7 linked regions of the Nothobranchius furzeri genome follow. The protein of the gene in region 1 purifies or fractionates together with the protein of each later gene. This does not show direct contact. Links are inferred from orthologs where the notes say so. Each region holds a gene or a part of one and is shown in the gene's direction. Other genes may lie near its edges. The genes, in order: cops6, dcaf11, ddb2, BTB/POZ domain-containing protein 2, torsin-1A-interacting protein 2, klhl18 and fbxo7.

Region 1 (4,133 bases):
ACAGAGCAAACCCGGCCCCACCTCCTTACCACCAAGACTCAGCTCCTCCAGTCCAATCCACCCTGCCCCTAGTCCAAGGGAGGCCATCTGTAACTGGTATCCTTGTCGTCCCGTAATTCCTATTTCAAGAAATTTCAGCCGTGAGAGCCCTTCTACCCCCGAGAGACCATCCTTGGCTGCACAATTTCGAAGCCCATTAGCTGTTATACGAAAAGTGTCACGCAACTCCAGTTGACTTAGCCTCTGCCACGATGTTAGACTCTGCAGATGCTGGTCTGTGAAAGAGGGCACATTGTTGAGGATTAACTTCTCAATACAAACTCCCAGAGGAGAGCCAAGCCCTGTTCCTTTCTGATCCCTTCCTTGATGAGGAGCACTAGAAGTGGCTTCTGCTTTGCCAGGGGGATGAGTGGCTGAATTAGAAGAGCTTTGGTTGAAAAAACCCCGAGGCAACTCACAACCACGCAGCTCCAGCACTCTCAAAGTTCGAGGGAAAACCAGGCAGTTAGGTAGACTTCTCAGGTCTGTATGCAGAAGGTAGAGCTTACTCAGACGGGGACATCTTGTGGACAAAGCTTTGAGCCAAGACTCAGAGAGAAAGGTGCCGCCTCGGGCTGACAGCAGCAAACCTCGCAAGCGAAGGCATCTTAGTCCACAACCAAGGTACTGACGCAGCAGGACCCAAAGGATGCGGGATGTCACCTGACACAGTGGATAGTGTGTGTGTGTGTGTGTGTGTGTGTGTGTGTGTGTGTGTGTGTGTGTGTGTGTGTGTGTGTGATGGGGAAAAGGAGAAAATAACTGTTAATAACTATGCAAACAAACACATTTTTCTTTAGGTTAAAATACACACGTATCACTGACTGGTTCATTATGGGTAAATAAGTTGATTTTATTCATGAGAAAGTTCCTCTTTTACTTTGGTGTTGCATCTAAAACCATCAAGTGACTTTACAAACGCAAAACTTTGTGTTTACCGTTTCTGTACATATTTATGAAAAAGCGTATAATTTAGTCATTCAGACAAAACATTAAAAATAACTTCCTTCTGACACAGGTGTTACTGGAACAGATATTTTATGTCTAAAACCTAATGCAACATTGTTTGTAACTCGCAGGTGTTACTTTATTGTGATTATTTTCATAAAGAATAAACATCAGATAAATAAAACGTTAAAGCCACACAGTGTGCTGACAATTCTTACCCCCTTCCATGAGGTCAAGTCGACAGTTTTCCACAGTCTTTGGTCTTTAACAAGGCGTTTCCATCTTTTGCACACCCTAAAAAAAAGAGGAAAACAATGGCAGCAACACAGAGCAAACTCACTTACACCACCGGATGAGTCATAACAAAGAAAAAGCCTGGCGCTGAGTTTTTGGCATACAAGCAAAATTTCAGCTGGAATACAGGTCTTACCTTCCAGCTCTGACAAGCTCTTTGACGCTCAGGTATGACAAAACATCTATCAAAATGTTCTCGGGAAAGTAGTCCAGATTACAGGCTTTAAATTCGTCCATTTCGTTAAAAAAAAAAAAAAAAAACTCGTAAAGCTTCCACACGGACTAATATCCTGACGCACACGGGTTGCGCCCAAATCAGTAATCCCCAGGAAACGGCTACTCGTTGACTGTATGATGCTGTATGACCTAGACGTTGGATTAAAGAACATACAATATTATAAATTCCTTCGGATAGTTGTGTCTCCGTCGATATTTTCTTTCTTTTGATAACACTTGACAAATTTCTGACAAAGGTCGAGCTCCACACCTTGTTTTGAAACAGCCTGAAATGCAGTTTGTTGCCACCTAACGTTCGTTAGCTGAACAGCCCTCCTGCGCCTGCGCGTTGAATAGATGTTGCACCGAATTGTGTGACCATGGTATATTGTGACTCCAGGAGGCGCTGTTGCCTCACACACCGGACAAGATGGCGACCAGCGATGGTGGAGGAATGGAAGTGGATGGGGCAGGCGAGTATTTATTTCTTATTTCACCATTTAAGTCTGACATCAGCATAGATGGATGTACGATTCCCTTACATGCTGTACAGTTTGGGTGTGAATGACCCCAAGTTAAGACTTAGTGTCATTAAAGGCTGCTGCTGACATAAGTGGGTTAACGTGCACTGCTCAGTCTGTAGTCATGACTCTGGATGTTACCGTCGCTCCTTTTCTGTTCTTTGACTGGAGTCTGGATGACTTGTGTGAATATAAATTTATATACACTAATTGTTTTTTGAAAATACTATTTTATGTATTCTGTTCAAATTACAGCACAGCATATTAGAGGAGCACACGAGGGACGTTGTGTACACCTGATTTCCATTGCTCTGTCACGTCATTTTGGCAAAAACAAACTACAGTTCAGTTGCTTCCCTTATTTTCGCCCACCTATGGCTTCACTACTAAGTTTATTTCAATTCGGCTTTGTTATTTCTGTGTGATGATGCAAACCTAACTCTAACCAGTTATATTTATCCTGGCTGCTGCCTAGCTTGGCCAGGTCTCCCTTGAAAAAGAGGTTGTTAATCTCAGTGGGATCTTCTTGGTTCAATAAATACATCAAACATTGGCCATATAAACAAAAACATCTGCTTGTTTATTGTTGTTTGTCTGGGTTGGTATCTGGGTATGATATTGCTGTGGTTAATGTGATTGACACTTTCTCAGCATCTAAAAAAAACTGATTCACCCATAGTGCTGCAGCAGTTAGCGCCATACCACAGAGACAACTCTTTAAAAGGAGAATTGAGAGCATTACATTTAATTAGTCCAATTTCTGATTTAGTGGAGACATCCTTCAGCTGATTATCTGATAAATGAGACATACGAGGGATTCTTTGGGATCTGCCTTATTGGAGTTAAAATATTATTTTTATACATAATAAAACTTCAAATATTTGCTGTTTGTTAAAATGCAACCTCCTTTTTCCCAAAACCAGTCATTTGTTTTACAGTTTTTGTTTGTTTTCGAGTAAAGAGCTTTATGTTACATGTTGCTGGTGTCCAGTTAAAGCTTATTTTACATCTGTGTCCACGTGTCTGTAGTGGGCCCTAGTGTCATGGCCTCGGGAGTCACCGGGAGCGTTTCTGTGGCCTTGCACCCTCTGGTCATCCTCAACATATCAGACCACTGGATACGCATCCGCTCCCAGGAAGGGCGACCGATGCAGGGTATGTGTCTCTTTCTCACCTGTTTGTTCTTAAAGAAAAAAAAACTGCTTCCAGGGAGAAACAAACCCTGCAGTTATCAAAGCTTTGACTTAGATTCTCTGTAATTAAAATGCAGTAACGTTTAATGCCATAATAATAAGTGTTGTTCATCATGTGTTCTCCTTTCAGTGATCGGGGCTCTGATCGGAAAACAGGAGGGTAGAAACATCGAGGTGATGAACTCCTTTGAACTTATGTCTCACACCATAGATGACAAAGTGCACATTGACAAGGAGTACTACTACACCAAGGAGGAACAGTGTAAGCATGTTTAAACATAACACGTTTGACAGGTGTAAAGTGTTCTTATGGGGTGATTTTAATAAGACAATAATGAAATGTGTTCAGTTTTAAACTTTGTAAATCAAGTTCCTCTTCTTTTTTTTTTTTTCAAAATGATTGTTAACTTTCATTTTGTCTTTCAGTTAAACAGGTCTTCAAAGAAATGGAGTTTTTGGGCTGGTACACCACAGGTGGCCCCCCCGACCAGTCAGACATCCACATTCACAAACAGGTAGAAACACTCTGACGTCCGTGTGATCTTAGCTGGAAGGAGATAAAAGACAAAGTTAAAAAATGACCATAAAAGCAAACATGACCTCGTTCAGCAGTGTGAAACTTTATTTTTTCCAAAAATTGTCTTAAAATCCTTCAAATTGTGGCTTGAGTTATGTTCAGTTCTATTCAGTTTATCTATATAGCAAAAAATCATGACATGAGTTGTCTCTCAAGCCCACACTGTAAACATTTCAATAATAATAATAATACATTTTATTTCAAGCGCCTTTCAAAGCTCTCAAGGTCACTGTACAAGACAAAATATAACAAGCAAGCAATACAAACAACAAGAAATAAATGCTAAGAGTAATTCCCAAGGGTAGAGTCGGAGCAGTGCAATGGATAATAGACTAAAAAGAGTAG
Region 2 (3,026 bases), on another chromosome or scaffold:
ATCTGTGCAGCATAGATGGAGACGGTGAAAACCACACCGCCCTGGACCTCAAGTGAGTGTTTCCTCCGTAGTAACGCAGACCAGAGCAGATGATCAGTCACCCAGCAGCTGGCCTTCCTCTCCCCTCATTACCACCTGGATGGATGAATGAATGATGCTGTCATGCCATCATTCATCCTCTCACTGTGTGTGTGTGTGTGTGTGTGTGTGTGTGTGTAGTCCAGATGAGAGGAGGTTCTGCGTGTTCTCTCTGGCTGCATCAACAGATGGAAAAGAGATTCTGGGCGGGTGAGGACTTTTGCTTTTACATCTCAAATCAGGACTAAGCTGGTTTGGACGTTTAGACGTATCGTTCCACTCGTTCTTCTGAGTGAGGGAACACACTTTTCATACCTGTGAGGAGTAATCAGATTACACACCTGAAATGTAACCCATCTCTCCTGTGGTGGCTTTTCAGGGCAAACGACGGCTGCCTTTATGTTTTTGATCTTGAGCAGAATAAACGAACACTGAAGGTGAGTGTGGCTGGTTGTCATGGTTTCTCCTACACACACACACACACACACACACACACACACACACACCTGTGAGAGGTCAAAGGTCAGTCTGTTCTGGTGGCTGGCTATAAATATGTGGGCTGATGTACATTTGAAATCATCCAGCAGTTTAGCGTAATCTGCTCCATTGCTGTTTTTCACTGGTTACACACACACACACACACTTTCTGTTTCCTTGTCAGATTGATGCCCACGAGGATGACGTGAACGCTGTAGCGTTTGCCGACAGCTCGTCCCAGCTGCTCTTCTCTGGCAGTGACGACGCTGTGTGTAAGGTGTGGGACAGACGGTCTCTGCGGGAAGACAGACCGCAGGCCGTTGGACAGCTGGCCGGACACAGAGACGGCATCACCTTCATCCACAGCAAGGTGGGTGGGAAAGTTCCTGAACTAGTCAGGAGGAGGTGGACGACTGGTCGAGTTAACAGTGCTAGCGTCTTGTTCTTGTCTCAGGGTGATGCCCGCTATTTAATCAGCAACTCAAAGGACCAGTCCATCAAGCTCTGGGACATCAGGAAGTTCTCTCCCAAAGAGGGTCTGGCGGCCTCCCGCCTAGCCGTCACGCAACAGAACTGGGATTACCGCTGGCAGCAGGTTCCCCAGAGAGGTGAGGAGAGGGAGGAGAACCAGATGGGGAGGAGAACGGGTCATTTATTATATTTATTCGTGTTTGGGTTTCAGCTCTAAAGAGACACAAGCTGACAGGCGACACCTCAGTGATGACCTACCGCGGTCACGGCGTTCTGCACACGCTCATTCGCTGCCGCTTCTCTCCAGAGTTCAGCACTGGACAGAGATACATCTACTCCGGCTGCTCCACCGGCAAGATCATCAGTGAGTCTCTGCGTGCGTGCGTGTTTGTGTGTGTGTGTGTGTGTGTGTGTGTGTAAAACCCTTTGTGAGATGACAGGACGTGCTTCTCGTTAAAAGACTGAAGTGCTCTAAACGTGTGTGTGTGTGTGTGTGTGTGTGTGTGTGTCTAGTCTACGATGTGCTGACTGGCGTGGTGGTATCTAGGCTGTCGGGTCATGACGCGTGCGTGAGGGATGTCAGCTGGCACCCGTACGAGGACAAGATCATCAGCAGCTCTGTGAGTTAAAACGCCTTCAGGGAAACTTAAATTTAATCTGAAGTGAGTTTTTTCCAAGTGTCAATCAAAAAGGCAGCCTGTAATCTAATGAAACAACAGATTTAAGAATTTAATATCTGAATAATGATCATTAAGGAACATTTTTAAATAATACGTTAATGATCTCAGTGACATCATTAACCATCTTATCCTGCAAATGATCAAACAAGACTAAAACGTGAAGATTTTGTGTCCACAGTGGGACGGAGCGGTGCGGATGTGGGAGCACAGACAAACCCATCCTCTGGAGGAGGAGCGTGAGAGGGACAAGGACTGACGCGTGGAGGAGGACAGCCAGGGAGGAGCAGAGATGGAGGAGTAGAGGAGACATCCTGGCGGGTGTGTGTTAGCTCGGTCAGGCTGTGAGAGACTTTAATATCTTTTAAAATCACGCTGGATCACAGGTTTTCCTTCAGACGGGCATTAAGGCGAATGATCCCTGTATTTCTTTTGTGCTTTTCTTTTTTTAACTGCCTCTCTGTGTTCTGCAGAATAAACAGACCGGTGTTGTGTTTTTATTCTGACCCGGTCTGAAACTGTTCCCTCAGCCATAAGAGCGGGAACTCCTGCAGTCGGATGCTAGGATGTAAGCTAATGAGATTAAGGTGGGTGGTGGTGATTCTGTATACATGTATAGTATTTTAATGGTAAGTCTATTCAGGGAGAGTGTGTAGGTAGCTGTCAGCTAGACTCTGCTGTTAGAATTTAAGTCAGAAACCCTACACTTCAACCTGATTGGCTGTTTCCCAGTAGGGAGCATCATTTAAATGAGCACCAGAACCCTCAGTTCTTTCTGTTTTTGTTCTTAAAGGGTGGTTCTGTTGGCCGGTGTAGGCCGTGACACGTTTAAAAGATGTGTGTGATGTGGTGTTCAATCAGAACCAGGGACGAGCACATGGTCCAAACATTCACTCTGATCTGTAATATGCAATTGTCAGGTGTTCACTTTCAAACTGCTGTTTGAAAATGAGATACTGCTGTTTTACAGTTACAATAAAATATATATAAAAACTCTAAATGTGTCCCTGCTGCATTTTATTCAACACTGCTCCAGTCTCAGCCTAAAAGCCGCCTGCTGTCATAAAAACCTGTCCTATTTTACACATTTCTATTTGTATATTCCAGATATTTATTCATATCCTAGTCCAAGTTCCTAGTTTGTGAATTGTTTGTTCACTGACAATGGCAACAAACCTATTCTGATTCTGATATGTTATTTAATAGTTATTTATTATACTATTAATAAGGATAGAGGTTTTTTATACGGCACCTTTCAAGATAAAGATTACAAAGTGCTTCTCAAGCATAATAAAGTGTTAAAAAAAAAGATTTAAAAAATTT
Region 3 (4,342 bases), on another chromosome or scaffold:
TTGAATCTTCCGCTCACACCAGACAGCTTTTATTTTTTTTCCAACCATGTCGAAAACAACCAATAGGAGCTCATAGACATTATCACGTGTTTTTGATTACCCCTCCTCTTTCTTTGATAAACCTTTGTTGAGAAATCATATTAGAACAAGGCGAGTTTCATAAAAGATAATTAGAACGGAAAAAGTAACACAAACGACAGTCTATGAAAAAAATAAAAACAGCCAGCATAAACAGGAAGTAATGCCATTTTAAATATTACTTTTAATTCTTAAATACAATTATTGACTTATTAGTAATTAGTTTTTTTTATTGTTTCAATGAAATAACGCTTTCTGGAATCAATTATTTCACTTAAAATGTGGAAAATGGAAATGATTTAAGAAAACAGCACTTACTAATTAAAAATTGAGTCAAAAGGATTACATTGTTACCACGGTTTGATTCTTCATGTCCTGTCAGACAACAATCCTTTATCAGATCAAAAGTTGAAAGCTGAATAGATTCTCACACAACAAGAACTTTTGAAAATCTTTCCAAGAAACATTTTTGACATTGCAAAGAAAAAAGGTGTTCTACTATTTTGATATCTGGGTGAACTGATATTTATGTTGACTTGCTTTTGCAGAAAGTCGTTACAAGGGATAACTGCATACATATTTTTAAACTGAATTATTTTATTTCCTGTGAGAAAAAGAGAAAGATATCTGGATCAGATTTTCTCAAAGGAAATGTCATCATAATTTTAGAATGTTTTCTCCTCAGGGTTAATGGACATTGAAGCCAGAGTGGCCTAATTCTTATGAATTTATTGTAACATTTTTTGTATACAAAGTCATTTTGTTTATAAATATAAACATTGGTTTATATTTATATTTGTTATAAATATAAATGAGTTGGTTATTTTGGAGTAACTGCATGTATTTTCACATATTTAATTATTACAATTACAGCTAGATGAATTGCCACACTAGGTTTAGAACATTTTAATGTATATTTTCAATCAATGCTTCTGAATATTTTAATAACAAATAAATAAATGTGGCCTGAAACATGCACAACCTATTTTATCTGTGCTTATGTTTGTCAAATTGGCATAAAATAATTTTATTACAAGCCTTAAAACCTGTGATAGTGTCATTAAAATAAATCTACGATACACAAATGAATCATTAGTACAGCTAGAGCAGAAACTATATTTAAGAATGTAACATTAAATAAACACAATACAAAAGAACATTTTCGATAACTTAAGGTGACGTCACTTTGTAGTCCAACGACGACGACTCTAAACATGGCTAACGATCGTGATGTGTTTTATCCACAGTGCCACCTGCAGCCATCCAGTGGTAACGCACCCATCTTACAAAACATTTGCAGCCATTATAGTCACGTTTACAGCTGCTTATGCAAACGCCGAAGTTCCTGGTGCTGGCCTCTCTTGTAGCGTTCACCAGCGACCAGGTAAGCGGCAGCAATGAAAACTGTTTAGGCAAATCGAGGATTCGTTGTCGAGGCGATTCGTGTCTTTCATACTGTGTTGTACGCTCGATTCAACGAGGAAGACATGAAAAACAAGCCCGCCAACAAGTCGGACGCATGCGAATCAAAAAGTAAGAAGAAACGAGCTGCAAAAGACTCTGATCCAGCTGTTTGTAAAACACCACGAGACAGAAAGGATGGAGAAACATCTGATCCAGGTGTGCAGCTCTGATGATGGGACAGCTTCATTTCATTCACGCTGTCTGTACCTGAAATGTTCTGGCTTTGACAGACGAATGTGATTATATCTCACAGGGCCTCCTTGTAAGTTTTCAAGAGTCCACAGGAGGAACGGGCACCATGCGAGCATCCTGCATTATATTTACAAAAGCACCCTGGGCCAAAGCCTACACTCTCAGATGAGACAAGTAAGACATGAAGCTCAGCTTGCATCAACTCAGTTCAGGTTGTGTTCATTATGCGTGGTAAACCTCCATTTTATATAGTTTTTATGTTATTTTAGAGTGTTAAATCAGTAATTTTGTCCAATAAAACAAATATCTTCATTGAGCAATCATGGAATTTTATTCTCAGAGAGTCGAGCATGAATTGATGTACATGCCCCAAAACCAGGGCACCACCAGGTTTCTCTTTGTTCCTGGGAAGTAAAAAAGTGTATTAAAGCAATAAGAACTATAAGATAATACAATCCAGAGTAAAAATGCTGAGTGCTTCCGGTTCTTCACGCACTCTAAGGTGCATGTGTGACACATCCCCATCCCCGGTGAGGGTCTTGGTTCTTTATCTGCAGAACAGGTTCCTATATTCTGACTGATAATTAATCCAGAAGTGAATCAGAGGAGCACCAGACGTGTTTGAGCATGTATCGGTTTGTCTTGATGGAGAGAGTATGTGGTGAAAAGGTGCTCCTCGTCTCTTGCAGTGTCTCCAGGAGCCCTTCCTTCGCTCCCTGTCCTCCTACCACTTCCACGGCGCCAGCAGTCCGTTCGATCGCAGAATCACCTGTCTGGAGTGGCACCCCACCCATCCCACCACGCTGGCTGCAGCCTCTAAAGGTGGAGACATTTTCTTGTGGGACTTCAACAACCCCACGAGAAAAAGCTTTATTCAAGGGGTGAGTGTGTGCGTCGGATTGGTTTTCACCCCCATTCAGCACTGCAGCAGCTTTGGGGCTTATTAGATTGTTACGGGTGATTTCCAGGTTGTGTATGTCAGACGAGCACGAAGACACTGTTGTTGGTTTTCTGCTCAGATGGGGCCTGGAGACTCAGTTACAGACATGAAGTTTAACCAGTTAAACCCCTCTCAGCTGTTCACCTCATCCATGGGGGGTACGACAGCCCTGCGAGAGTTCAGTGGGACGACACTTACAGTTTTTGCCAGAACAGATGCACTGAAGTAAGACTTTAGAGCTCCTTATGTCTGTAAAGGTCAGAGGTCAGGCCTGTTCAGTCTAGCATCAGTCTTCTCGTCCGGTTGCCTCAGACTGAAGTGGTGGCTTCCACTTTACTGGCTTGGATCTGTGTGTGTGTGGACAGAATGGAGCGGGAGACTCTCTGGGAGGGATGAAGTTCTGTCCCATGGACTCGTCCAAGGTCTACGTGGCTTCTGGAGAGGGAACGCTGACCCTAAAGAGCTTTGAGGGGCACAAACCCACTTTGCTGTCCAGAACTCAGGACTGTGCTCACGAGCACCACAATGTCTGGTGAGAAAACCGCATAGAAGACTGATGCTAGGCAGACTCGTTTCGTCGCTTTTCTTCAAATTGGTAAAGAAGAAAATCGTTCAAAGCTAATCTGATTTAAACATCTTATTATAAAAGACATTTAGTTCACATTTGTTGTTGTAGATGTTTACAGATGTGATTGAGTGATGTTCAGGACTTAATGTCTTTAGCGTCATAGTTGAATATCTAAACGTTTCTTTATTAAAAGGTTATTTTAGAGCTTTTTGAACACATAATGAATGAAGAAAACTTGACTTGTTCATTGTGTTTCACAGCTTTTGGTACTGCTGTGTTGACGTGTCTGTGAGTCGGCAGATGCTCGTTACCGGTGATAACACAGGGCAGCTCTTACTTGTCGGACTGGATGGTCAAAAGGTAATTTATTTATTTAAATGCAATCTCTACCAATTCTTTATAGATTAGAGGTTTAAGATTTTAAATGTCTGGATTTTATTTATTTTGTCATAACTGCCCCGAAAATGTAAGCGTGGTCTTTAATAATTTTGCTTTAAAAATGAAACGGATCTGCTTGAAAGCAGCAGATAGAGAATCAGCAGATTTGCTAAGGCAGAGGTCATGAACAGTCTTGTTTTAGAGAAGGAAAAAATGCTGGAGCACCATTTCCAGGAACTAGAAGTGAGCCACATCACAGCTGAGTTTCAGACGGCAGGTTTTGAAGTCTTATTTCCTAATATTTGGACATCTCAGCTCTGACTGGCTAACAGTAACATGACAATTGACCCTTTGCACCGATGTCACCTAATCACGTGGGTCCACCATGCTGGACGGCAAAAGCATTTAAACAGTGAGCGACACGATTAGTAAACAAAGGGAAAAGTAGAGCCTGAAATTGTTTTTGCGATCAAAACAAAAACAAAACTCCTCCAGCATTCCTTCAACTAGTTCATGCCCAGTTCAGTTATCAGAAGAAGTAACTCATCTAGCCGGGGCTCACAGAGAGCGGTATGTTAGCTAGCTTACCAGCGTTAGCTTATGTTCTCTCTGTTCACCGATGTAAACATGTTGTTGACTTTGCCTAAATTCACCCCGCTGGATTTATAACTTTGTTATAAACAGCGTTTCACTTTACACCAAAGCTGATTTTTAAAAAGTCC
Region 4 (4,649 bases), on another chromosome or scaffold:
AGTCTGTGCGTATGTCGTGTGTAGGAACTAATTTACGCATTGTGTGGTATTCATCATTTGGTACCTGTGTGTGGAAATGTTCCTAAATATGAGAAAACTTCAGACCATGTGTAGGAAGAGCATTTACTGGTTGAACGAGGGAACCGCAACACCAAAGGTCTCAGTCATCCACACATGTTCCTCATCCAATTATTTTACACATTAAAACAATATTTCAGAGTAAAAACAGCCAAGTCACATGATTGATACTAAAACACCAGACAGGAATCTAACATTGTAGAACACCTTTTTCTAACTGCAGAAATGCCTCCTCAGCCAGGAGCAATTAATCACCTCTGCCTCGCCTCAGTCAGCTGTGGCTACATCTTAGCTCATCCCCACCAGTGTGTTAATGTGAAGCTGTGTGTGTGAATGATGACTGATTGTGTTGTGAAGCACCTTGGGGGACTGTAGAACCCTAAGAAGGCGTTATACAAATGCAGACCATTTAATCACTAAATCAAACAAAATAACAACTCACTAAAAAAACTAACTAAAAGATGCAGGAAACATGCTGGAAGCAGACTGCAACGTCAGGTGTGTCAACTCCACTTTAGTAAGTCCAACCGGACCGGACTGGCACTCTAAAGTTGCATGTGTGGTATTTTGGTCACAGAGGGTGACATTTCATTAACCCCGTAGGGTCATTTTAGTACATATTGGCTCAAGAAAATGATTTAAAAATATTAAGTTGCATAGTATGCCTTTAACTAATAAACTTTTAACGTAATTACTTGCAATCTGAAATTTGGTTTGACTGATGCCCACTCTGTCTATAAGGGATGTATTTGTTTTATTTAGGTCAGTTCGATGGAAACACAATAACTCATTAACATGCCCTATAGGTTAACAACTGTACTATGTGTAAAAACATAAACATAAACTCAATCCTCTAGCTTTCGAGATTAAAGATTTTTCCTGCTATCTGCTGGAGCAAAACTGTCTCTACAGGCAATGTTCATATTGCTAATCACGAGAAAACTCAAGAGCGTTTCCTGTGGATTCCTTCAAAATAAACTATACCACTTAAAATGACTGCAGGTTTGAAATTAGTGTTAACAGCATAATTAAGTCTGAATCAGTGGTACCCAATCCTGGTCCTGGAGGACCAGTATCCAGCATATTTTAGTGTTAACATTTTTCCCATACACCTGATTTCAATCAGCAGTTAATTAACAGGCTTCTGCAGAGCTTCATAAGCTGCTGCACAGGGGATTCAACCGCTGAATCAAGTGTTGTTGCAGAGAAACAACTAAAACGTGCTGGATACAGGTGCTCCAGGACCAGGATTGACAACCACTGGTCTAAATAATGCCAGAAAGTCCTCACTACAACCTACTTAACTACTAAAAATCAACAACTCTACTTTAATAATCTGTGTTCAACAAGATCAAATCAACCAGCTACAATTGGAGCCATTAGCAGTTAGCTACAAAATAGAGGTTCATTTTTTTAAAAGTTTTATTTTGATAAGGAGGCTGAATATTCTCAAAGGGGAAATATCAGATGTTTTTTTTCCATATGTGCTTTATTAAAATTCAGCCTAAAATTTTTTTGGTCTGATGTTTTAACTTTTTAATGTTGTTTAAGAAAAGAAAAAAGTGAATTATAAGTTTTTTAGTTTAACCCATTGAGGACAGCAGATTGTAGTACCCACCGTGGCCGCTAGAGGGAAACAAAAGGCAGACGTGACCCTTTAGACTACATGAAATGAAGAAAGCGATGAAGTTTGTTGTTGACGCCTACGCCAGGTTGAAGATGTCCGCTGGAGACAACAGCGGCAGGCCTCCTTGCCTCAGTTTCTCCGGCCCGGGTCCTTTGGGAAACAGCCAGCCCAGCAACAGCGTTTTCTCAATGCCAGCATTCAACGGAGGAGCAGGCGGTGCAGCTGGAGGTGCACAGGGAGCAGCGAGGCGGTCCAACCCGCAGCTGGGGCCTGCCGGGGGAGACAGCAGCGGTGTGTCGAGCGGAGCTCCGCCGACTGCGCAGAACCCTTTGCAGTCGCCCGCTGCGGCTGCGGCAGGTGCTGCGGCAGCCGGAGCAATGGCCTCCCCGGCGTCCAACATGATGACCACCGCTGCGTCAAACGCCAACCCGGCGACAGCGCCCACCTCCACTCCGGCTGCTGCGTCTGTGCTGGTCTACCGAGAGCCGGTGTACAACTGGCAGGCAACAAAGAGCACCGTAAAGGAGAGGTTTGCGTTTCTCTTTAACAACGAGGTGCTCAGTGACGTTCATTTCTTGGTTGGCAAAGGGATGGGTGTTCAGAGAATACCAGCTCACAGGTAATTACCTCCAACATGAGCCTGCTCTGACGTTTAAACAAAGATCTGACAGCCCCCTCTCTCTTTGTTTTAGGTTTGTTCTGGCTGTGGGGAGCGCAGTGTTTGATGCCATGTTCAACGGAGGGATGGCCACCACCTCCACGGAAATTGAGCTTCCAGATGTGGAGCCAGCTGCCTTTCTGGCCCTGCTGAAGTAAGAACCAGACAGTCCAGCGTAACAGTTTACATTCCCACAAACCAACCCTAGTTTGTGTGGTTTCCTGCAGGTTCTTGTACTCTGATGAAGTCCAGATTGGGCCTGAGACTGTGATGACCACCCTCTATACAGCTAAGAAGTATGCAGTTCCAGCCCTGGAGGCTCACTGTGTGGATTTCCTTAAGAAGAACCTGAGAGCAGACAATGCTTTCATGCTGCTCACACAGGTCAGCTCCCATCAACTCAGTTTCCTTCATCATTATTTATTCAATTCATGTTTGAGTGTTCTATTATTTTTATAATTTGTGAGTAAAAGCAAGGTTGTGATTTCTGTTCCAGGCGCGTTTGTTCGATGAGCCTCAGCTAGCCAGCCTCTGTTTGGAAAACATCGACAAGAACACCGGAGATGCTCTCGCCGCCGAGGGATTCACGGACATCGATTTAGGTAAAGTGCCTCTGTACATATTCATGCCATTTCTACATTGTGGAATTACACTTTTAATATGATTTGTTTGCTTCTGTTTAGATACGCTGGTGGCGGTGCTGGAGAGGGACACTCTCGGAGTCAGAGAGGTGCGTTTGTTTGGAGCGGCTGTCCGTTGGGCTGAGGCTGAGGCCCGCAGGCAGCAGCTGCAGCCGACGCCCGAGAACATGCGTAAAGCCCTGGGAAAAGCTCTCACTCTGATCCGCTTCCCTCTCATGACCATTGAGGAGTTTGCTGCAGGTAAGGATGAACAAGCTACGTGTTTTTCCTCTGTTTTAGACATGCATAGATGCTGTGATTCTGAATTTAATCTTCGTCTTTGGGTCCTATCCTTCAGGTCCGGCCCAGTCCAGTATTCTGACGGACAGAGAGGTGGTGAGCCTCTTCCTCCACTTCACAGTGAACCCAAAACCTCGTGTGGATTTCATCGACCGTCCTCGCTGCTGCCTCCGAGGGAAGGAGTGCAGCATCACCCGATTTGGGCAGGTGGAGAGTCGCTGGGGCTACAGCGGAACGAGTGACCGCATACGGTAAGAATCCCGAAGTTTAGTCTCTTTTACTAATACTACTTAATGCATTATAAAGTATTAATAAACTAAGTAATCCTTCATTTACATTCCCGATATTGTTAACTATTGATCTTAAGGTTGGGACAAAGGGCCAGGGGTTATCTGTGTTACCAATACATTTAACTTGTATGTGTTTTTAGCTCAAACAGTGTACCACATACATCAAATGATTTAATAAGATATTTATTAGTTGTTACTGAATTTTATCTAAGAGTTGATTATTATAGACGACTAGTTCTGAATACTAAATTCCATCTGTCACACTTTCCTGATAATTTTCTTCACAGGTTCTCTGTTAACAGACGGATATTTGTGGTTGGCTTTGGCCTCTACGGCTCCATACACGGACCTACAGACTACCAAGTCAACATACAGGTACCACTCCAAGCACTGCTCCAGTATTAAGTTGTTTCTGATCATTTGGAGTGTTTTCATCGTGTTTGTGACATTTGCACGTGTTGTAGATAATTCACACAGACAGTAACACGGTGCTGGGGCAGAACGACACGGGCTTCAGCTGCGACGGTTCGGCAAACACCTTCAGGGTCATGTTCAAGGAACCAGTGGAGATTCTACCTAACGTCAACTACACCGCCTGTGCTACACTTAAGGTGTGTGACTCCTGAGAGCTAATTAAAGGGAGCCAGAATGTGTGTGTTCATCCTTTTTTTTTCTGTGCGTCACAGGGTCCAGATTCTCATTATGGGACCAAAGGGATGCGGAAGGTAACGCATGAGTCATCATCCACTGGCACAAAGACCTGTTTCACATTCTGCTACGCAGCAGGCAACAACAACGGCACTTCAGTAGAGGACGGACAGATTCCCGAGGTCATCTTCTACACATAGTCACCTCAGATACCACCACCATCTTCCATCAAATGTGACGGCTTGACACCAGCGTGAGGCCACACCTCAGCAGCCGTACTGAGGACTAATCTGTCAGACTTCATACTGTTCCCCTCCACTTAGTGCACAACCGTTAGCTGCATGGGAGGACTAATAGATTGGGGGGTGATTTAGGTTGCTACACAGGACAAAGACTGTCATCTTGCATACCGTATGTCCATTTTTGTT
Region 5 (3,311 bases), on another chromosome or scaffold:
ATCGGATTCAGGTCAGGTGACTGACTTGGCCATTGCAAAACAGTCCACTTCTTTCCCTTCAAAATCTCTTTGGTTGCTTTTGCAGTATGCTTTGGGTCATTGTCCATCTGCACTGTGAAGCGCCGTCCAATCAGTTCTGAGGCATTTGGCTGAATATGAGCAGATAATATTACCCGAAACACTTCAGAATCCATCGTGCTGCTTTTGTCAGCAGTCACATCATCAATAAATACAAGAGAACCAGTTCCACTGGCAGCCATACATGCCCACGCCATGACACTTCCAGCACCATGCTTCACTGATGAGGTGGTATGCTTAGGATCATGAGCAGGTCCTTTCCATCTCCAGACTCTTCTCTTCCCATCACTCTGGTACAAGTTGATCTTGGTCTCATCGGTCCGTAGGATGTTGTTCCAGAACTGTGAAGAAGGCTTTTTTAGATGTTGTTTGGAAAACTCTAATCTGGCCTTCCTGTTTTTGGGGGCTCACCAATGGTTTACATCTTGTGGTGAACCCTCTGTTCACACTGGTGGAGTCTTCTCTTGGTTGTTGACTTTGACACAGATACACCTGCCTCCTGGAGAGTGTTCTTGATCTGGCCAACTGTTGTGAAGGGTGTTTTCTTCACCAGGGAAAGGATTCTTCAGTCATCCACCACAGTTGTTTTCTGTGGTCTTCCGGGACTTTTGGTGTTGCTGAGCTCACCGGTGCGTTCCTTCTTTTTGAGAATGTTCCAAACTGTTGTTTTGGCCACGCCTAATATTTTTGCTATCTCTGATAGGTTTCTTTTGTTTTTTCAGCCTAATGATGGCTTGCTTCACTGATAGTGACAGCTCTTTGGATCTCATCTTGACAGTTGACAGCAACAGATTCCAAATGCAAATGGCACACTTGAAATGAACTCTGGATCTTTTATCTGCTCATTGTAATTGGGATAGTGAGGGAATAACACACACCTTGCCATGGAACAGCTGAGAAGCCAATTGTCCCATTACTTTTGGTCCCTTAACAAGCGGGAGGCACATATGCAAACTGTTGTGATTCCTACACCGTTCACCTGATTTGGATGTAAAAACCCTCAAATAAAAGCTGACAGTCTGCAGTTAAAGCACATCTTGTTCGTTTCATTTGATATCCACTGTGGTGGTGAATAGAGCCACAAATGTAAGCACTGTGTCGATGTCCCAATATTTATGGACATGACTGTACTTACTCTCATTTAAAATATTACTAGAAAATCTATATTTTAATTAAGCCAATCAGCCATTTCATTCCAGAAAAATGTGGTATGTTATTACATGATGAACAAGGACAAATTATCTAAAATAATATTAACATTCAGCCTCCTGTCTCTGTCTTTAGGAAGTAAAGGATTTGTGATGGCCATGGTGGTTCTAGTGGTACTTGTTGCCATCTTGATGCAACATTTCTCCCAGCCAAAAACTCCACCTCCCAAAAACAATCAACGGCATATAGACGACTTCCTGAACAAGATGGAAAAATTGATGACTCAGTATCCCAACCAGCGCTCAGAGTTCTGGGACCGGAGCAGGATCCACCTGAAAAGGCACCTCCAGACCTCCCAGCCGACCGAGCCGGTGAGTCTGATTCTGACTGCCGGCCTCGGCGCTGAGAGGACGCTGTGCTGCCTGGCTCATAGTCTGTCCGACGCTTTCTCCTCTGCTATCAACTCCTCCGTCCTCCGCATTGATGGAGCCAGCAAAGCCAGCCAAGACAGTGATCAAGTCAAACTGGACATCGACAACAAGCTCCAGGGAGCTTTTGAGGGAGACAAACACGTGGCTGTCATCCACCGCTTTGAAGAGCTGCCCCCGGGTTCCACGCTCATCTTTTATCGCTACTGCGACCACGAGAACGCTGCTTACAAAAATACTTTTTTGATCTTTACGGTGCTGCTGGGCGAGGAGAAGGACATCCCTGCCGAGACTCACCTGAGCATTGTGGAGGAGATGGTGGACGACCATCTGCAGAAGAAGTTTCTCTCTCACGGCCACCCTGTGTCTTTTGACAGCATGGATCTTGATAAATATGGTGGACTGTGGAGTCGTATCTCACACCTTATTCTGCCTGTAACAGCAGAGGGAAGAATGGAGTGTGATGGGTGCTAAAAGCCACAGAAGGTCTTATTTGAGCTTTAACTCCGAGCAATAATCACTACATATCAGTCAGTAGGGGGAGTCTGCTTATTCTGGGGCTTTTAGTTGTGGTTTAAAAAACATTTTAGTATCTCTCAGCATAAATGAACACATCAATATTCAATAAGACTTATTGTAAAATAACATATTTGTAAAAATGATGAAAAAAAACTATTGGGCACTTTTAAGTCGTTTCAATGGTTTGAAAAATGAAACTGGAATTTGTTTGGATTTTCCAGTTTGCTAATTGTTGGGGACAACTGCCGCTGTTATACAAGTCTTCGTCATTCTTTGGATAAAACACGTTTTTAGTCACCAGAACACAAGGTTTATATGTTAAAAGCACCAGAGACTCCATATGCCTTAACATAACATGAACATGTATATATTTTATCTGCATCTATGTACAGGTTAGACTACAGAAAGAATGAAACCAACTGTATAAATTAAACGTGCCTTAAATTGCAAATAAAATTTTAATTTTTAAGTTTATCCTGTTATTACTAAATCAACCGCTGGAGGGCAGCATCACATCACCTGTACTAGGACACCTGTCTGATGTGATTGAATAAGTCTAATAGCAGGCTGCTAATTGAATATTTAACCCCATTTATGTTAACTTTAAGTGATATCTGGGCGGTTAATGTAGTATTTTGAGTGACTTGGAGATTTTAAACTTGGATTAAGGGCTTGTCCTGGTTGGGTCACTCCTCCTTTCCTGGAGATCAGATCCGCCTCCTATCCGCTCTCCCACAGACACCGGGGCTTTTCTCTCCTGGGTGCACGCTTCTCCACCCTCCACTCATTATGAAACAACATCTCGCTTTGTTGATGCGCTGTTACGATTTTTAAACTTGAATTCTCTTGCATTTAAATTACTGTCAGGCTGCGGTTGCTCTCCGGGACCTCCAGCATGTTTAAGTTATTCCATGTTATCGTGCTGTGCTGTGCGTTTTTCTCTCGGGGGTCTGCTGCACCAAAACCATCCCTAAATGCAGACTGGAGGTCTCAGCCTGACAACGGCGCAGAGCAGAACGAGGAGCTGCAGGAGGAGGTGGAAGGTCAGGAGAGCATCATCTCCAAGGTAGGTGCAGTCAATAAATGTGTGCGTAAAGTTTCCGATTGAGCCTGGTGGGAAATAAAAAAAAAAGTATC
Region 6 (4,366 bases), on another chromosome or scaffold:
GAGCAGGAGCATGTGAGCATTAGTGGCAACAGCGCCCGACACATGGTGATGAGGAAACTGCTGCGGAAGCAGGAGGTGGGCGGCGCCTGGACCAGAATCAGCCTCCTGCTGTTTAGTCTAATTTTGCTGTTAAACGTCAGCTGCATCATTGGTCCCTGACCTTTGAACCTGTTGTCCTTTCCAGTCCATTGTCATGGTTCTGAGGAACATGGTCGGGCCAGAAGATATCGACGATGACTTGGAGGGGGAGGTGATGGAGGAGTGTGGAAAGTTTGGGCAGGTGAAGCGAGTCATCATCTACCAGGAGCGCCAGGGTGAGGAGGAGGATGCTGAAATCGTGGTGAAGATCTTTGTTGAATTCTCTGAGGTGGCAGAGATGAACCGAGCCATCCAGGCACTCAACAACCGCTGGTTCGGAGGACGCAAGGTGGTGGCGGAGGTCTACGATCAGGAGCGCTTCGACAGCAGTGACCTGTCAGCGTAGAGCCACCATGAACTTTCACCTTAACGTAGTGGCCTCTTTCTTACTGGGTTGGTTTTTATTGGTCTTGTTTCCATGGAAACACCTTCTTCAGGTTGTCTTTCACGTTTTACCATCACTTCTGCCCTGCTCATCATTCTTCTCACAGCACTGGCCCCTGACACCTCCTGAACCGTCACATGACTTTCTGCTGAACTCACCAGGTCCACCCAGAAGCTGGGTCCAAACAGAACATGGTGGTTTCATGTCACAGCTGATCCAGATGGGACGTCCTCCTGGAGCCCAGGACCAGGTCTGGAGCTAATTCAGGTCTGACTTGTGTAAAATGGTGAGCAGGATGCAGAAGGTTTGAGCGGGTCCACCCTAACCACAGGAACGTTCCTAACCACTCGGCAGTCAAGCAGGATTTCTTTCTGGCAGCAAATTCAAAGCAGAACCCAAACCAGAACTAGAAATAAGTGGATCATCAGGACAGGTGCATTCTGGTGCGGCTTGGCTGTTTCAGGTGAAATGTAAATAAAGATTTTTCAGCTGTTTTTACTCATGGGATGCTGCTGCAGATTGTTTTGAAACATTTTCTAATAAAATGACCCAAGGACCCGCTGATCCGACCCAAGACCATTTGTTGGTTGTGGAGTTCTGATGTCCCAATAGGGTTTGGGTTATTTGATTCAGAACGCTCCTGATCCGGGGACAGCTACAGAGTTCCAGCAGACTGGTTCCCTCAACCGTTTAGATCCATACGCAGTGTTCCTCTGATTCTCAGTGGTCCTGTTTCCATGGAAACTTTCTTCATGTTTGAGAGTTAACTCGTCATTCCAGCAATTGATTGACACGTTTCTGAGCTAATGGGAAGTTCGTGATTTCCTGGGAAACCTTCAGTTCCAGCTTCAGTTTCTGACCTGATCCAAGTCAGACTTCAGGTTCTGGTCTGATTGGGTTTTCCCAGTTCACCAACCCAGAACAGAACCAGTCCAAACCCCGGCCAAAGCTGGTCTGGTAAAGTCATCTGTTTCAAGAATAAATGTTTTAAATGGCTTTAAATTGCAGTTCCAAATCAGGTTCTGTAAAACATTTAAATCCGCTTGGATCAGAACGTTAGACACTTCCGGTCGGACGTTCATATCAGTTTGAAATCAACTTTATTTTGGAGATCACTACAGAAGCGGAAGTTGTTTTATTGTGAAGGGTTGAGTTCCTGCCCACGATGGGAGACGGATTTTGCGAAGAGCTCGAAGATTTGGTTCATTTCTCCGTGCACGACCTGCCCGCGCGAGGTTATGTCGTCATGGAGGAGATCCGACGTCAGGGAAAGCTTTGTGACGTCACGATTAAGGTAAACACTGACGGCGTGGACTCGGTCCGCGACCCAACAGCTTGCTAACAAGTTGCTAACAGGCTAACATCGGTGGTATGACGTTAAATGCGTGACCTGTGACCGGCCGGAAGACGCTCATATGCGAATGTTTTAGACCGATATTAATACTTAGGGGTTATGAAGGTGAAAGGTCAATTTGTGGTCGGCAGCACGCTCAGACAACACCTACTGTTATGATCAATTATCTGCAGCACAGGTGGACTGAAACCGGAAGTGTTAATTTGACCCAACTCGTTAAACGATAAGTGACTTTCAGTCGCAGCGCCTTGAGTCAGCGGACTCTAAAGCGCTTTGCCAGTGAAGGTTCTGGTGGTCCAGCTGGAGAAGAACCCACAAGTCCTCAGGAGGCTCAGTATTGTTTATGGACCCACCAGAACCTCCTAGCAGGGGTTTTCTAAAATAAACAACAGAATCCTGATTTCTTTTGTCTGAATTATTATATTTATATGTCGATGATTATCACTAACATTTCAGACCCTTATCAGTTTTAAACGCTGAACTTAACCAGCTTGTAAAATGGTAAATGGCCTGTATTTGATATAGCACCTTCTAGAGTCCTGGAACCCCCCAAGGCACTTTACAACACAATCAGTCATTAACCCATTCACACACTGGTGGGGATGAGCTACAATGTAGCCACAGCTGCCCTGGGGCGCACTGACAGAGGCGAGGCTGCCGAGCACTGGTGCCACCGGTTCCTCCGACCACCACCAGCAGGCAACTGGGTTAAGTGTTTTGCCCAAGGACACAGCGACAGACTGAGCGGGGCTCGAACCTGCAACCCTCCGATTACGGGGCGAGCACTTAACTCCTGTTCCACCGTCGCCCATGTATGCCAATGGTGCAGTACACATGTGTAATCATTAGTGTGGCAGTCTATCAGTGCCTCTCTCGGTCCGCCAGGCCACGCCTCTTTCAGAAGCGTTTTCCGAACAGGAAGTGTGGATGAAATACGTCTCCACCCATGCCTGGACAAAATATGAAAGTAACCAACTATCAAAGCTGCTACTACAAATTAAACATTTTCTCGTGTCTCTTAACCTTCAAACATAGCATAGCTGTTAATTAATTATGGAGATCAAAAAGTGTGGTTCTCTCGCATTTGTTTAAAAATCTCCACCAATAACGTATTTCACACCGAAACCAACCACTGGACCATCCGGATGTTGGCCTCACCGAACCGCCACCCTTCCCTGGGTCCTCCACTCATCACAAACTCACGTCTTTAGCACCAGAACACCACTGGTGTGAGAGGTTCTCCGCTTAAGCACCAGCCAGCGAGGAGTCCCACCGTCATATCAATCTCTCTCTCTCTCTCTCTCTCTCTCTCTCTCTCTCTCTCTCTCTCTCTCTCTCTCTCTCTCTCCATTTTGTTCCCTGTTCTCTCACTGATACTGCTGTGTGGTCCTCATACACTCAGTCCTCTGCTGCCAGAATGTATGAGGACCTCACACTCAAACACTGAGCAGCTGTCTGCCGCCACGCTGGAGCGGCTGCTATGATTCTGCCACCCAGCTCTGGCCTGGAGGTAACTGTGGGTGTCCTCTCTCTGCAGGTCGGCGATCATAAGTTCAGCGCTCACCGGATTGTCCTGGCTGCCTCCATCCCGTACTTCCATGCCATGTTCACCAATGACATGGTGGAGTGCAAACAGGATGAGATCCTGATGCAAGGCATGGATCCCAGGTAACCATACTAACACATTCCATTGGGGCGACGATCGCCCCGTAATCTGAAGGTTGCTGGTTCAAGCCTCGCTCAGTTGTCGCCATCATTGTGTTCTTGGGCAAGACACTTAACCCGCCTTGCCTGCTGGTGGTGGTCAGCAGGCAAGGCGGGTTGTCGCTCATCCACACCAGAATGTGAATGGGTGTATCAATGGGTGAATGACTGACCTTGTTGTGAAGTGCCTTGGGGGTTCCAGGACTCTAGAATGCACTGTATTAAATACAGACCATTTACCATGTCAAAGAGAGTAAAATGTTATTATCAAGAGAGAGAGAATGTTTAAGTGATTAGCAGCAGTGTGCTAGCCGATGGCCCCCTCCATGAGGCCACCACAGCTCAGCAAAACATCATTGTAGCTTCTTCTGGGGGGGGAAACACTTAGAGAAAAAATAAAGTTAACAGCTGAAATTGCAGGAAATAATACAGTTAAAGAGCAGATTGTAGAAGAAAGCAGTAGAGCGTGGAAAGTGGTCAGTGTATCCTCCAGCAGTCTAAGCCTATAGCAGCATAACTACAGAGATAACTCTGGATAACCTAGCCTTTTAGATGGAGGCATAATGGAGGCAGGGCAAGGGAGAGTCGTCTTTACCGACTGTACACTCCACCTCCCTCTACTCCCCCACTTGTCCAGATCTGGGCTGACATCAGATTTTAACCATAGGCCCTATCAAATAAAAATGTTTTAAGCCTAGTCTATTTTTAGACATACTGGGAACCACCAGTAGACCTGCAGTCTGAGAGCGAAGTGTTTAGTTAGGAACGTATGGAACAATCAGATC
Region 7 (4,436 bases), about 49 Mb from region 1:
ATTTAAACACTAATGCTCTGTTTGAGGAATTTCAGTCTGGTTTTAGAGAGTATCACAGCACTGAAACTGCATTAGTGAGAGTTACAAATGATATTCTCATGGCCTCAGATAAGAATCTTGTGTCTGTTCTAGTCTTGTTAGATCTCAGTGCTGCCTTTGACACAGTTGATCACAATGTTCTTTTAGAAAGACTTGAACATGTTGTAGGGATCAAAGGAACAGCGTTAGGCTGGTTTAAATCCTACCTGTCTGACAGATTTCATTTTGTAAATGTACATGACAAATCTTCTTCATACTCCAGGGTTACTTGTGGAGTACCACAGGGTTCAGTGCTTGGACCAATTCTTTTTACTATATATATGCTCCCAATTGGTAAAATCATTAGACAACATGGGATAAATCTCCACTGTTATGCTGACGATACCCAGTTATATTCATCCATTAACTCTGATGAACCTAATCGGTTGGGTAGATTACAGGCTTGTCTTGAGGACATACAAAATTGGATGACTCAAAACGTTTTGCTTTTAAATCAAGACAAGACGGAAGTTTTCATCTTTGGTCCTGAAATTCAGAAAAGGATTGCTTAGTCAATCACCTGACCTGAATGGCATTACATTAATCTCCGAGAACAAAGTAAGGAACCTTTGTGTTATCTTTGACCGGGACATGTCATTCAAATCCCACCTTAAGCAGGTTTGTAAGATTTCCTTTTTCCACCTTCGGAATATTGCTAAGATGAGAAGCATACTTTCCAGGAGTGATGCTGAAAAACTAGTTCCTGCATTTATTACATCAAGACTGGATTACTGTAATTCATTACTCTCAGGAAGTCCACAGAATGTAGTTAAAAGTCTTCAGCTTGTCCAAAATGCTGCAGCTGGAGTTCTGATGAGAATTAAAAAGAGAGATCATATCTCTCCTGTCTTAGCTTCCCTACATTGGCTACCTGTTAAATTCAGAATAGATTTTAAGATCCTTCTTCTCACATATAAAGCTCTTAATAATCAAGCTCCATCATACATCAGTGATCTGATTGTTCCATACGTTCCTAACCGAGCACTTCACTCTCAGACTGAAGGTCTACTGGTGGTTCCCAGAATATCTAAAATTATGATGGGAGGCAGATCTTTTAGTTATCAGGCTCCTCTCCTGTGGAACCAGCTCCCAGTCTTAGTCCGTGAGGCAGACACCTTGTCTACTTTTAAGAATAGGCTTAAAACATTTTTTATTTGATAGGGCCTATGGTTAAAATCTGATGTTAGCCTAAATAAGGACAAGTGGGGGAGTAGAGGGAGGTGGAGTGTACAGTCGGTAAAGACGGCTCTCCCTTGCCCTGCCTCCAATATGCCTCATTCTAAAAAGGCTAGGTTATCCAGAGTTATCTCTGTAGTTATGCTGCTATAGGCTTAGACTGCTGGAGGATACAATGACCACTTTCCACACTCACCTACTTTGTTCTACAATCTGCCCTTTAACTGTATTACTTCCTGCTATTTCAGCTGTTAACTTTATTTTCTCTCTAAGTGTTTTTCTCCCCAGAAGAAGCTACAATGATGTTCTGCTGAGCTGTGGTGGCCTCATGGAGGGGGCCATCGTCTAGCACACTGCTGCTAACCACTTAAACATTCTCCCTCTCCTGATAACTTTTTACTCTCTTTGATGTTGGATGTGCTACTACTAGTTTACCCGTTTAATTATAGATCCACTAGGATAAATACAATAAAGTTTATCTCTCACCAAATAGAATATTTACTAAGACATCACAATGTAACCACAGAATCAGAAACTTTTTTCTGATTGGCTTAATGAATTGACCTGTATTGGAATGGTTATTATGTGAAGTACCTTGAGACGACTCTTGTCGCGATTAGGCCCTATATAAATAAACTTGAATTTAATTAAATTAAAAGTTTAAATACATGAGGAGCTGGGACCTTGAGTGATTGGAAGACAAGAGGCAAGTGGGAGCAATTAACATGGACACAGAACTGAACGGAAACTGGGGAGACAAGACAAACTGTGACACATACATTGGTGATCTTAGTCCCTACACCCCCAGCATGTCCATGAGTTCCAGTGACCAAAGCCTACTGGTTGTGGAGCACCAGGCTAAAGACCAAAGGTGACAGATCATCTGCTGCTGTGGCCCCCAGACTCTGAACCTCTCTCCCCCTGAGCCTGAGATCAGTGGACTCAGTGGTCTCCTTTAAACTCACCCGTTAAGGCTTTGGTGGGACCTTCAACACCACCACCTTGTTCTTATTCTGCCTTTCCTGGAATCCACTGATTTCCCTCTTTCCTATAAAATTTCTCTCTCCCTTTCCATTATATATTTAATATAATGTTTACTTTTTTCTTTAATTTTAAACATATTTTTATTCTTTTTTTTTTACTTTTTAAATTTTATTAAATTTTTTTGTGAAGCTCCTCGTGATTTTTATGTTGAGAGGTGCTAAACTGTTCTGGGTCTTATTTTGAAAAGTCGAAGCGGAAATTACGTCTCTTCAGTTTCCGATGTTTCGTTTTCACTGATAGGAGAGAATTTCATGTTCTATTATAATGTGAGCTTTTCTCGGTTTACCTGTGAAGTTCTGGGACTTTCTGAAGATAACCCGCAGGTTTCACTAACTACCCGTCCAGGTTAGTTAGCTAGCTTGTCTCGTGCTACGCAGCAAATACGAAACGTTTGATATGAAAGGAAAACGAAATCGTCATTTTCCAGAAGCGATCGTTTATTTTACAGCACTGTCGTGCGTGCTTATTTCGTTATTATTATTGGAACCGTAATCTAACAGATTTTCATGACACTTCTTTGTTCGTAAGCTTTTTGGATAAACCTGTGAGTCTCTTACATGGTGGAGGTTGGAGTGTGACTAAAGGTGTGGACAGAAGTTGGTGCCATTCCCATGTAAACATTCTGTGCTTTAGGCGCATTTATTCATCTATAAGAACCGATTTTGGTTGGAATCCTGAATCTGAGGTTTAAAGTTCAGTTGCTATAAGTTGAACATGTTTTTTATGTAAGTAGAGGTCATGTGATCTTACGGAAGCCGGTGTGTTTTGTTTATTTCAGACAACATGAAGCTACGGGTCCGGATCAACAAGCAGACCAGCAGGGTGGACTTACCTGGAGAAGAACCCACTCTCACAGAACTCTCAGATGTCATCAAGCAGACACTGCTGACTTCTACTGGACTTGGGTCAGACTTCCGGATGGATCCATTTATTCTCTTTTTCTTGTCTCTTAACCAGCGTGTGTCCCAACGGCTCAATGCTCCGTTTTCTTCATCTCCTTTCAGTCTGAACACAGAATTCAGCTTGTCTCTGAACGGCTCTGAGCTTCTGTTGGACTCTGGTCAGACCCTGTCTTCCTTTGGGATCGTTTCTGGAGATCTGATCTGTGTGCTGCTCCGGCAGCCTCCAGCAGTCGCCGTGACCTCAGGGGAAACCAGCTCCACAGCCCCAATAACTGACGATCAGCAGACCGCCACTCAGGTGAGCTCACAGTGACGCAAAAGTGGGTACGCAGTGTATGCGACACATGGGGCGCCAAAGCAATGATGCAAGAACATTTTAGTCTGACGTTCCTCTGTTTAATAACAGCCGTGTTCTTGTCCATTTGTGTATCTGCTAATTATATCATTAATAAGAGAGAAGCACATCAGTGATTAGGCGCCCCTCCGCTTGTTAACCCCCCACACCAAAACAGCGCTCTGCCACCACACCACTACACTCTGGGGTTGGAGTAGATGGTTTTATACACGAGCCACAGAAGTTGTGCGTTTATTTATTTAAACGTTGTAGAAGCTAGTCGCACTAATGGAGCCCAGCTCTGGTGTCACAATGAGAGCTAACGTGAGCAGCTCCTGTCTAACGGGGACGGCGGGTGGAACCAGGCCCCAACTGGGGAAATTCCCGATGGCCCGGTTGAGTTCAGTGTTGTTGTTTTTTGGGCTGGTGTCACTCTAGATCACCTGCTGCTGATGAGAGGAGCTCTCCTGTCAGGCACTGGTGAGCTGCTGCCAACCCAAACCCAACCAGCTTCTGCTCCTAGGAACACGTTCTAGCTCAGACTGTAGTGACCTGTTATTTATAGTTTATAATTAATGTTAGGTATATTCCACAGCTGATGGAAAATGAGATTAAATAACCTGAACATGTTCTCCCACAGCTCAGCTCTGTTAGAAATGAGCAGATGTCTGCTTCAGCTGGACTACATCAAGTAGAAAAGTGTCCACAGATAACTGATCTTTAAACTTTAATATTGATTTTATTTCATTTCTAAGGTCTGGATGTCTGTGAACTAGGGCTGGGGGTAAACGATTATTTTTAAAACGATTATTCTGACGATTATTTTATCGAATAGTCGACTATTCTAATGATTATTTAGACGATTAATCTAACGATTATTTTTCTATTGCACAATTACTAAA

What was found.
Region 2: the proteins of cops6 (region 1) and dcaf11 purify together in Homo sapiens (affinity purification with mass spectrometry; 6 studies listed by BioGRID and IntAct, counting the BioPlex papers as one, with this or other methods). This does not show direct contact. The link is inferred for Nothobranchius furzeri from reciprocal best matches to the Homo sapiens genes COPS6 and DCAF11.
Region 3: the proteins of cops6 (region 1) and ddb2 purify together in Homo sapiens (affinity purification with mass spectrometry; 8 studies listed by BioGRID and IntAct, counting the BioPlex papers as one, with this or other methods). This does not show direct contact. The link is inferred for Nothobranchius furzeri from reciprocal best matches to the Homo sapiens genes COPS6 and DDB2.
Region 4: the proteins of cops6 (region 1) and BTB/POZ domain-containing protein 2 purify together in Homo sapiens (affinity purification with mass spectrometry; 4 studies listed by BioGRID and IntAct, counting the BioPlex papers as one, with this or other methods). This does not show direct contact. The link is inferred for Nothobranchius furzeri from reciprocal best matches to the Homo sapiens genes COPS6 and BTBD2.
Region 5: the proteins of cops6 (region 1) and torsin-1A-interacting protein 2 purify together in Homo sapiens (affinity purification with mass spectrometry, with the first as the bait; 3 studies listed by BioGRID). This does not show direct contact. The link is inferred for Nothobranchius furzeri from reciprocal best matches to the Homo sapiens genes COPS6 and TOR1AIP2.
Region 6: the proteins of cops6 (region 1) and klhl18 purify together in Homo sapiens (affinity purification with mass spectrometry; 3 studies listed by BioGRID and IntAct, with this or other methods). This does not show direct contact. The link is inferred for Nothobranchius furzeri from reciprocal best matches to the Homo sapiens genes COPS6 and KLHL18.
Region 7: the proteins of cops6 (region 1) and fbxo7 purify together in Homo sapiens (affinity purification with mass spectrometry; 4 studies listed by BioGRID and IntAct, counting the BioPlex papers as one, with this or other methods). This does not show direct contact. The link is inferred for Nothobranchius furzeri from reciprocal best matches to the Homo sapiens genes COPS6 and FBXO7.

What each region holds. Positions count from the first base shown.
Region 1 is NC_091741.1:79,987,571-79,991,703, reverse strand, and holds the start of cops6 (COP9 signalosome complex subunit 6), read left to right. Parts: upstream 1-1,333; 5' UTR 1,334-1,417; coding exon of another isoform or gene 1,418-1,518; exon of another isoform or gene 1,519-1,821; intron 1,822-1,897; 5' UTR 1,898-1,927; coding exon 1,928-1,970; intron 1,971-3,047; coding exon 3,048-3,173; intron 3,174-3,341; coding exon 3,342-3,473; intron 3,474-3,637; coding exon 3,638-3,726; intron 3,727-4,133. Other genes in the region: F-box/LRR-repeat protein 12, read right to left, coding at 1-702, 1,206-1,281, 1,418-1,518. UniProt on the Homo sapiens protein: Component of the COP9 signalosome complex (CSN), a complex involved in various cellular and developmental processes.
Region 2 is NC_091747.1:42,050,201-42,053,226, forward strand, and holds the end of dcaf11 (DDB1- and CUL4-associated factor 11), read left to right. Parts: coding exon 1-52; intron 53-219; coding exon 220-288; intron 289-457; coding exon 458-515; intron 516-739; coding exon 740-925; intron 926-1,009; coding exon 1,010-1,163; intron 1,164-1,237; coding exon 1,238-1,390; intron 1,391-1,539; coding exon 1,540-1,646; intron 1,647-1,884; coding exon 1,885-1,962; 3' UTR 1,963-2,190; downstream 2,191-3,026. UniProt on the Homo sapiens protein: May function as a substrate receptor for CUL4-DDB1 E3 ubiquitin-protein ligase complex.
Region 3 is NC_091744.1:65,533,946-65,538,287, reverse strand, and holds the start of ddb2 (DNA damage-binding protein 2), read left to right. Parts: upstream 1-1,329; 5' UTR 1,330-1,462; exon of another isoform or gene 1,463-1,563; 5' UTR 1,564-1,565; coding exon 1,566-1,698; intron 1,699-1,795; coding exon 1,796-1,908; intron 1,909-2,423; coding exon 2,424-2,615; intron 2,616-2,702; coding exon 2,703-2,899; intron 2,900-3,039; coding exon of another isoform or gene 3,040-3,206; intron 3,207-3,502; coding exon 3,503-3,602; intron 3,603-4,342.
Region 4 is NC_091751.1:57,998,573-58,003,221, reverse strand, and holds the start of BTB/POZ domain-containing protein 2, read left to right. Parts: upstream 1-1,746; 5' UTR 1,747-1,749; coding exon 1,750-2,324; intron 2,325-2,397; coding exon 2,398-2,517; intron 2,518-2,590; coding exon 2,591-2,747; intron 2,748-2,859; coding exon 2,860-2,965; intron 2,966-3,046; coding exon 3,047-3,244; intron 3,245-3,341; coding exon 3,342-3,534; intron 3,535-3,860; coding exon 3,861-3,948; intron 3,949-4,037; coding exon 4,038-4,184; intron 4,185-4,259; coding exon 4,260-4,421; 3' UTR 4,422-4,649.
Region 5 is NC_091748.1:54,201,277-54,204,587, forward strand, and holds the end of torsin-1A-interacting protein 2, read left to right. Parts: intron 1-1,362; coding exon 1,363-2,129; 3' UTR 2,130-2,643; downstream 2,644-3,311. Other genes in the region: olfml2ba (olfactomedin-like 2Ba), read left to right, coding at 3,070-3,240. UniProt on the Homo sapiens protein: Required for endoplasmic reticulum integrity. Regulates the distribution of TOR1A between the endoplasmic reticulum and the nuclear envelope as well as induces TOR1A, TOR1B and TOR3A ATPase activity.
Region 6 is NC_091751.1:33,738,062-33,742,427, forward strand, and holds the start of klhl18 (kelch-like protein 18), read left to right. Parts: upstream 1-1,320; 5' UTR 1,321-1,688; coding exon 1,689-1,817; intron 1,818-3,414; coding exon 3,415-3,545; intron 3,546-4,366. Other genes in the region: poly(U)-binding-splicing factor PUF60a, read left to right, coding at 1-75, 185-484. UniProt on the Homo sapiens protein: Substrate-specific adapter of a BCR (BTB-CUL3-RBX1) E3 ubiquitin-protein ligase complex required for mitotic progression and cytokinesis.
Region 7 is NC_091741.1:31,396,382-31,400,817, reverse strand, and holds the start of fbxo7 (F-box only protein 7), read left to right. Parts: upstream 1-1,432; 5' UTR 1,433-2,549; coding exon 2,550-2,643; intron 2,644-2,681; exon of another isoform or gene 2,682-2,882; intron 2,883-3,076; coding exon 3,077-3,203; intron 3,204-3,302; coding exon 3,303-3,498; intron 3,499-4,436. UniProt on the Homo sapiens protein: Substrate recognition component of a SCF (SKP1-CUL1-F-box protein) E3 ubiquitin-protein ligase complex which mediates the ubiquitination and subsequent proteasomal degradation of target proteins and plays a role in several biological processes such as cell cycle, cell proliferation, or maintenance of chromosome stability.